Linked DNA regions of Oryza sativa Japonica Group. The protein of the gene in region 2 interacts with the protein of the main gene of each other region in a pairwise test. Links are inferred from orthologs where the notes say so. Each region holds a gene or a part of one and is shown on either strand. Other genes may lie near its edges.

Region 1 (4,255 bases), on a different chromosome or scaffold from region 2:
AATTTATTTTTATTTACTATTAAGCCGTTTTGATATATTAGAGGATATGAGCAAACGATGAGACTCTTTCTTTATTTCTCTCTCAAAAGAAAAAGGCTTATTTATTATTCCCCTCACTTTTAAAACGTAAAGATTTTTAGGATTCAAATTTTATATTAAATGTAAGCATTCCAAAACTGATTCTCATGATTACAATCATTTTAATGATTCCAAAGCCAATCAGATGATTGAAAGTGAAATTCAAACAATTCAAAATTTAAAAATTGATAACCGAAGTGATTAAAAGGGAATATTTGGACCTAAATTTAGTATTTGCTAAACAACCTATAAATCGTTGTATTTTAGAATGGAGGGAGGAGTTTTCATGTGAAATGTAGTATTATTTTAATACAATCAATTAAGTCTCAGTCTTCATTGACTACTATGAATGAATCAGACAAAAATAATTTATGTTCAAACTTCTATATTAGTGTTATTAGCGATTTTGAAAGACGATACTAGAAAATAGATTAAGAAGAAAAAAAATCTTAAAATCAACTTAAAATATAACCTTTTAAATTCAAATTTTGGCTAAGCTCAGTAAGTTAACATGTAGACGATGAGAGGATATAAAATTTTACATGGTTTTACTACTAAGCCGTTGGATTGCGATCGGACGACGACTCTCATGCATCTGGCTTGTTGAGCAGTGGAGAATTGGAGATTTTTTTACAAACATTGTACTGTGATCTGGGCTGGGTGGCAGCCAGATTGGTGGGAGTAGATTCCATTTCACCATGCATCTTCTCAAGAAAATTCCTAGCACAGTTTTGTGCTACAGCAGCAGCAAAAAAAATAATGCAGATGATGGCTCATCCATGCACGGCCATTGTACCAGCACAGTGTAAAGAAATAAAAATTGGCAACAAGAGGCAACCATCTCATCTCATCTGGACTCACCTAGAGTATGGATCATCTCCCCTGTCCATGCATGCATGCATGCTGCAAGAAAATGCATATACAAACATTCAGAAAATTATATTTGATATTGATATTCATTTGCCTCCCATCTCCCTCTCCAACAGTGCCATCTCTGATCACACCCACACTGTGAAGTGAAGTCAGTCATCTCCAAGAGAAGCAAAAGCAAATGCAAAGCCTTCACCTCTCACCTCACATCCATTGCTGCATGGACCATGGCACCAATGCACCATGCACATCTCCAGCATCTCCATCTCCATGAGTCCATGTGCATTCAAGCTTAGCAGCAGCAGCAGCAGCAGCTGTATGTGTGGGTGTGGCCATGGTGCTTTCTTTGCATTGCATTGCATTGCAATGCATGCACTGTTTGCTGCAGCTGCTGCAGCTGCAGTGACTAGTCTAGCTCTCTCCATCTCTTTCTTTCTCTGCTTCTTTGTTTCTTTCTCTGTCTATAAATACAGAGGCCTCTCCTTTCCACCCAGCCCTTTTCCTCTCCTCCTCCCGTCTTTTCCACCACCACCACCCTCGCGTGCCCTAATTTCTCGCTGCTCCTTGTCCCCCACCTCCTTTACTTGAGCTTGCTCACCACTGCCTCCATATACAGAGAGTCTTCTCTGTATTTCTCTCTCTCAGTGGGAGGCTCACAAGAATCTTTCAGCTCACATCTCACTGTCCTTGCCTTTCTCTAGCTAGGTACTACTACTGCTAGTACTAACCACTGCTCGTGTTCTTGGGACTTCTTCTTCTTCTTGTTCTTGTTCTTAAAATCATTTGGGGTTTTGAGCTCCAGGGAGGTCCAAGAACAGAGCAGCAGGATGGTGCAGTGGCGTTTCTGTAAGTGAATCCTACTACCTTCAGTTTCTTGAGCAGTTTCAGTAGTGTAGAGCTTATGATGTAATGCAGCAGGTGCCATGTGTGTTGTGCTCTGAAGAAAGCTGTTCTGTGGGTTGCTTTGTTACTATGTTTTTTGTGTTCATGTTTCTTGGTCTGTATGGCTCTACATGTTGGGTGTTTTTGGTCAGATTTTGTCTCTCCTATATCTGCTAGTCTGTTTTTCTGCAATAGATCTTTCTGTTAGATTTCTTGTCTTGTAGGGAAGTTGGTAGAGGATGTGCTCTCAGGGTAAGGATTGATTGTCAGTTTGCTTAGTTCTTTCTTTTGATTCACCAGTTGGGATTTAGTTAGTATGGATAGATAATCTGCTAGGTTGGGGTTAAATGTTGCCTCTGATATGGTGAGTGAAACTACTTTTGTGGATTTTGTATGGATTGTGGTTAGTGGGTGAAATTTGTGTTCTTGATTGAAACATCTACCTAGTTCTTGAATCTTCAATGGCAGCATTATTGTACTGATTGTTGTATGGTCCAATAATGTATTTAGGGGGATTCTACTTACTGCTAGTCTGCTCCCAGATATGAAGATTTGATTCTGTTTTTTTTCCTCTTCAAATGTTTCTTTTTTATAATTAGTTGAAATATGCTATTATCCAGAGTACTTTTGGGGGTTTATGGATTGTTTCCTCCTACTCAAGAGAGGTAAACAAAGTAACTTCTTCAGTACAGATTTTCCAGAGATGCCATTTCTTCTTCATCATTCCTCCTTTGATTACTTCATGATTGTTTTTACCTGCTTCTCAGCCCATATCCCTTGGAACATTCACTTCCATGAAAATTACCACCTAAGGAAAAAAAAACAAAATGGTCAGTAATTGAGAACTTGCTATATTAGTTACCTGAAAGATAGTAACACCCAGCAACACAGATCCATGTTTCAGTATACTTGTGGTATAGGAGTAGTATAGTATAGTATACCCCCACACTGCTTTCAATTTGTCAGTACTACTACTGTGGTAGTAACATCTAGCCAAGGAGGATACAACGGTCCAATCCAATCAGATCAACAAACAACAACACATTGATTTCTTTGGCCTACTACCATGCTTTCAACATTCTTTCATTTTGTTTCTTCTTGGTTAATGCTTGAATTTCTAGATGAAATGGATGGCACAAGACCACTCTTGAGGAATCCTAAGTTTCCTATAAATCCCTTTTATAAATACTTTTTTTTAGAAACAACTGTTTTGTCTCAACTTAAAAAAAATAAAATCAAAAGCATATTGCTTGCAAGAATTCAGAAGATGTTCTAGGTGAAATTCTTGCAGATTTTATTGCATTTCTCTCTCATGAGTCCTTCATTACAATTAGGTGAAAACTAAAGAGGTGCCATATTAAATAGAGTGAATTTATTGCAAATTAAATTGGTTTTCGATTTGTCAAATTTGCTCGAGACACCTAACCAACTAACCCTTATTGTCCAAATCAAAATTCCATCTCGTGCGCAATTAGCCCTGGCCATAGCTTTAATTCGTCATTAGTAGGCAACCAGTGGGGGCTCCAAATGGTCCTAGAATCATCACTTTTACTTTGGATTTGCTTCTGCCTCTTGCACATTCCCTTATTTTGTAGCCTTCTTGAGGGTATTAGGTAGGTGTTTTGGCAGATTATCTCCCCATTGATCAGCTCCCAATTAATGCCAGATGGTGACACTGCTAAAGATGGAAGACAAGCTTGCGAGAAAACAGTGGTAGCCTTATTATTTCCTCTCACAAGAATTGTGCCCACAACTTGTCCTGACATCTGTGAATTTGTCTGTATGTTGATAGTAATAGCTGGATGAATCATGGGTGCTTAACAATGCTCTTACTTACCAATAGTGTTTATGGTCGGTTGGCCCTTGCAACCTCCAAAGAACCAATTGGAGCAATTCAGCCTTCTCTTTTTTTTTTCTCTCTCTGTCATTTTCTGTGCTTTAACTGTTATCTGAACGAGTAGTTAACTGTATAATGTCAAAGGAATAATCTTGCACAAATTTAGTACCAATGTTGTTGTAGAGGAGCATGTATAAGCTTTATCTGTGGTACTGTGGTAGTAAGTAGGATGTGTAGAGTGTGCAGGTCACAGTTATGGATCACTGAACAAATAAATTAACTCCCCTGCTTTTGACACCCCAAACTGAAACATATAAATGCTGCAATGAATAAAGCAACTAACTTTACACTATCACAGCCCTAGCTTCTGTTCTGGCCAGTTTCTTGCTCCCTCCAGACGGTAATCACTTTACTCTGTATCAACATTTGCATTTAAACTGGTTGTGGTTGACTGGTTGTTTGACTAGATTAGCACAACTAGAAACCATGCCAAGCCATTCCTGATCTGCAGTGTGTCGTTTCTTTCTTCTGAACTGAAGATTTGATCTTTTCTGTTTGCAAAGTTCATGCTTACACACTTACTACACT
Region 2 (4,163 bases):
TCCTCTGGTTATCATCTGTGCCGAAACCCGGTTGACCTCGCCGAGAAGGCTAATCCCTGCATGCGAATCGAAAAACACAAGCAAGAACAAGATAGATTGCAACCAAATTGCATATGAATGATTAAGCACTCGGATTTGGGGTTTCACAAACCGATCTAGCGGCGAAACTGTTCTTGACAGAATAATCTAAGCAAAACCCGACTCTAAACGATGAAGGCTATTGAATAAATATGATTAAGGACGTCCTAGGGTTGCCCTAGGGCGCACACCCCCTTAGGCTAAGCCCACAACACTATTACAAGGCCCAAAACACAAATCAGATTCGGACTGGATGAGATATGTGGCTTGTTTTGCAGTTTCCCAGCAACTTGGTAGGAATTTTGACGTGGGACCAAATCCATCTGAAGTAGACTCCATATGCTTTCCAACAAGTATTCATGGGCCCCAAAATTCCTTCTAGAACAGTGCGGCTAGATCCGTTTGAAGTTGATGCTGTCAGGAGGCCCGAATCCAAATCCAAAACATGTAGAACTTTATCTCTTGTCTTCTGTGGACCAAAAGTGACGTGGTGAGATGAAAGAAGACTTGGAGAAGGTCTTGGTTTGGTCCCCAATCAACTTCTTCAATTATCCATGCATTCCTTACGCTCGGTCTCTTTTCTTTCGCCCAAACAAGTACCTCTGTAAACAAAAACATACGAAACTCATTATGTAGTAATGTTTGTTCAAATATATAACAAGTAAATCTAACGTAGAACATATGCACCTTTGGTTGATTAATACATAAGGTAGTCTTGGTTATATCCGAGCTAGTTGTGTCCTCATCAACATGTGAGTGCACCTGCTCTCGTCAGCAAAAACCGTTTCCCGAACCACGGAAGGAGTCTTTTCGCATCGGTTTTTAAAGATGGATAAGGTGCTATAAGAGCAGGTACAATAGTAGGCTATAAGCCAGCTATAAACATATTTTAAAGAGATAAAGCAAGAGAGAGAAGAGCAGCGGGCTACAGATCTGTAGCCAGCTGCAGCACGGACTCCAAGACGTAATGTATGTATGATAGGTGGGACCAGTTATTAATAGTATAGTAAACAACTATTGTATAAATTGGTTATAGGTGATTCGAAGCTAGTAGTTGGCTATATAGATTTAAAGCTAGTAGTTGGCTATACTATTAAACTTGCTCAAACCGGTTTTACAGTCGAGGGAGGCGATTCAATCAGGAACAAGACACGAGAGAGGCGAAATGGACTTATTCCCTGTACTGACCATCCCGTTCCGCATTCCCACGGCCCAGCCCACACATGGGAGTCGAATAGGAAAAAGAGAAAAAAAACCACAGCCGCTATGGCCCTCTCAAATCTCTCAATCTCCTCTTATCTTGGGCAGTAGTGGCGCTACCTCTTTCTTCTCTCTATCTCTCAACGAGCGCGGCGCGAGCAAGAGGAGCGCGCACCCCGGCGACATCAGAGCTCGTCGACGCCGGGGACTCTGCGCGGCGGCTAGGGAGTTCGCCCGCCGGAGCAAGGGCTGGGCGGGACAAAGAGAAGAAATCTGCAGCGAACCCATGGCGATTCTGCCCCTCTCGATTTCCCACTCTCTTACCTCCGCCTTGTCCGCCACCTCCTCCGGCATCGGCAGGCCAGTTGCCCGCCTCCTCCACCCGCGGGTCCCCTCCCGTCCCACCGTCATCTGCCTCGCCGCGCCGCCCAAGGTACCCGTCCCCATCGCCTCACCGGCTTCACTAGGGGACGACCCTTCCAAATGGGACCCGGCCGAGTGCGACGCCCTTCTCCGCGGCGGCGAGCAGGTCGCCTCCGTGCTCCAGGAGATGCTCAAGCTGGTACGGGTTTTTTTTTCTTTTACTGTTATTTATTTGGTAGATGGTCCTCTACTATTTGAGAGAAATTGGACATTCTGCCGTTGCCAAAACAGGGTTTGGCTCAAATGTCACTCCCTGGATTGGATTAGTTAAAAAGCCACTTCCAACCGGCCGATGTCAAACCGCTGTTTTGCCATATTTGCCATTTCACAGGAATTCCACCATTTTTCGCACTTGGCCTGACCAAAATACCCTTCGGGCTGCGGTTTGATGTCGGTCACACATACATGGACATCGTATGTTGTACTACTTAAAGTCAAACTACTTTAAGTTTAACTAAGTTTATAGATAAATATAGTAATATTTATAATACCAAATTAGTTTTAGTAAATCAATAATTGAATATATTTTCATAATAAATTTGTCTTGGGTTGAAAATGTTATTATTTTTTCAACAAACTTAGTCAAACTTAAAGCAGTTTGACTTTGACCAAAGTCAAAACGTCTTATAACCTGAAACGGAGGGAGTATTATTCATGAACTTTGCAATTCTTTTTTCCACAATGATTCCCTCAAGAAAAGCTAGCAATATGACGGATCAGCAGGACAATCATATGCAGCATATCAAATCAACCAAAGCAAGCAAGAAAAGCATCAACGCATTTGGGCAGCTTTACCTGGTGAAACCCAGATTGATGAGGAACCCGCACCGCGTGACCGACTTCAGCAACAAGTCCTAATAGAATCAGGCCGAGGCAACATCCTCTCCACCCAGAGGTGATCGACGCTAGGAACCACCGCCACGTCTGTGGCCGTAGCCATACCCATATGAGGCCGATGAGGAGGAGGAGGAGGAGGAGGTGGTGGCATGGCTGTAGGAGGAAGAGGAGGACGAGCGAAGGCGGAGGTCATAATCAGCGTGGAGGTGGTCGTCGGAGTGGACCCTGTAGGCCTGTACGCGTCGGAGGCGAGGCGAAAGTGGCGCGCATGGCTGCGTCGGGGGAGTGGGCGTGGCGGTCCGGCTGGTCATGGAGTGCACCGCGGCAGAAGGTGGCCTTCACCTCGGCCGTGGTGGCGTCCCGCCGCAGCCCCAACGTTTGGTAGTGGTCGCTGCCCATTGCTGGCGCCTATCACCGAAGGGGTATTTTGGTCAGACCAATGGCTGAAAATGGTGGAAATCCTATGAAATGGCGAATATGGCAAAGCGGCGGTCATGGTTTTAAAAGCGTCGCTTAAGCGTTGCCTAGGCGTCTGAGCGCCATCAGGGAGCAGAGCGTCCCCACTGCCTACCCTTCTACACGTCTTGGATCCTAATATCTCGTGAAATCAGGTAGACACGGGCAAGGTGGGGGTCAAGGGCGCATGCGCTGTAGGGAATTACACATGCTGGGAAGGAAATCGCGTGAAGATATGATGGAAATCGCGTGTGCAGCAATTTAGGGAGGGAAGAGTGAAAGATGGAAAGAGAATAGAGAATAGGGGTGCGCCAATTTAGGGAGAGGGAAGGGTGAAAGATGGAAAGCGAATAGATAATAGGGTGGGCAGAGATTGGAAAGAGAAGATGGTTGTCTCCCTCTTGCTGCTCCCTTCTTCTCCAATGGATCTGTCTCCCTGCTCTTCCTCGCCCCTTCATGTTCTTCCTCTCTTTTTTGCCTCATATATCTCTAGTATGCCTCTTGTGCTTGTGTTTAAGGCGTCGCCTTACCCTTGCCTTAAACTCTTAAGGCGTTGCCTAGGCAATTGAGTAGGGGTGGGTCGCCTTGCCTCACCTTGTCGCCTTAAGTACACTGGTGGCGGTTTAGCATCGGTTGGAAGTGGCTTTTTAACGAATCCAATCCGTAGAGTGGCATTTGAGTGAAATCCTCTTTTAGCAGTGGCAGAATGTCCAATTTCTCACTATTTGAATTGTGGGTAGTAACTGTCTCGGTTGACAAAATTCTGGGATATTTTAGCTCTGGGTGGTTAATAGATTGGGTGTTTTATTTTCAGTTCTTTGGTGATTAAATACTTTATTGTTTTATTATCCTCTGGTGGGTAGTATATTAGAGCATTTCACGACGAATTGGCCAATAGTTCCCTCGGGAAAAAAAATAATTGGCCATTTGGAAAAAAATAATACATCCTTTGCTGCATCTTTTCACACTTTCTCAAGGTTAGAAGATTATGGATTTTTATTAAATTTTCGAACAACCAGGAATGAAGCAATCTTCAATGATGAATTAGAGAACCTCGGTATGCGATGTGGAATAGCAAGGTTCATGATGCAGCTGAATTATAAGGATTGCTACCTTTGAGGGTCTTAAAGTTGTAAACATTGTATTGTATATTCTTGATATGGGACTAT

Evidence for each region.
Region 1: the proteins of protein PEP-RELATED DEVELOPMENT ARRESTED 1 homolog, chloroplastic (region 2) and protein rough sheath 2 homolog interact in binary tests that used the Arabidopsis thaliana proteins (3 or more experiments, as listed by UniProt). The link is inferred for Oryza sativa Japonica Group from reciprocal best matches to the Arabidopsis thaliana genes AT5G48470 and AS1.

Annotation. Positions count from the first base shown.
Region 1 is NC_089046.1:24,247,889-24,252,143, reverse strand, and holds the start of protein rough sheath 2 homolog, read left to right. Parts: upstream 1-1,444; 5' UTR 1,445-1,794; intron 1,795-4,255.
Region 2 is NC_089045.1:15,317,699-15,321,861, reverse strand, and holds the start of protein PEP-RELATED DEVELOPMENT ARRESTED 1 homolog, chloroplastic, read left to right. Parts: upstream 1-1,353; 5' UTR 1,354-1,564; coding exon 1,565-1,840; intron 1,841-4,163. UniProt on the Arabidopsis thaliana protein: Plays an essential role in early steps of chloroplast development. May be involved in the redox control of plastid gene expression by maintening the redox state around chloroplast nucleoids.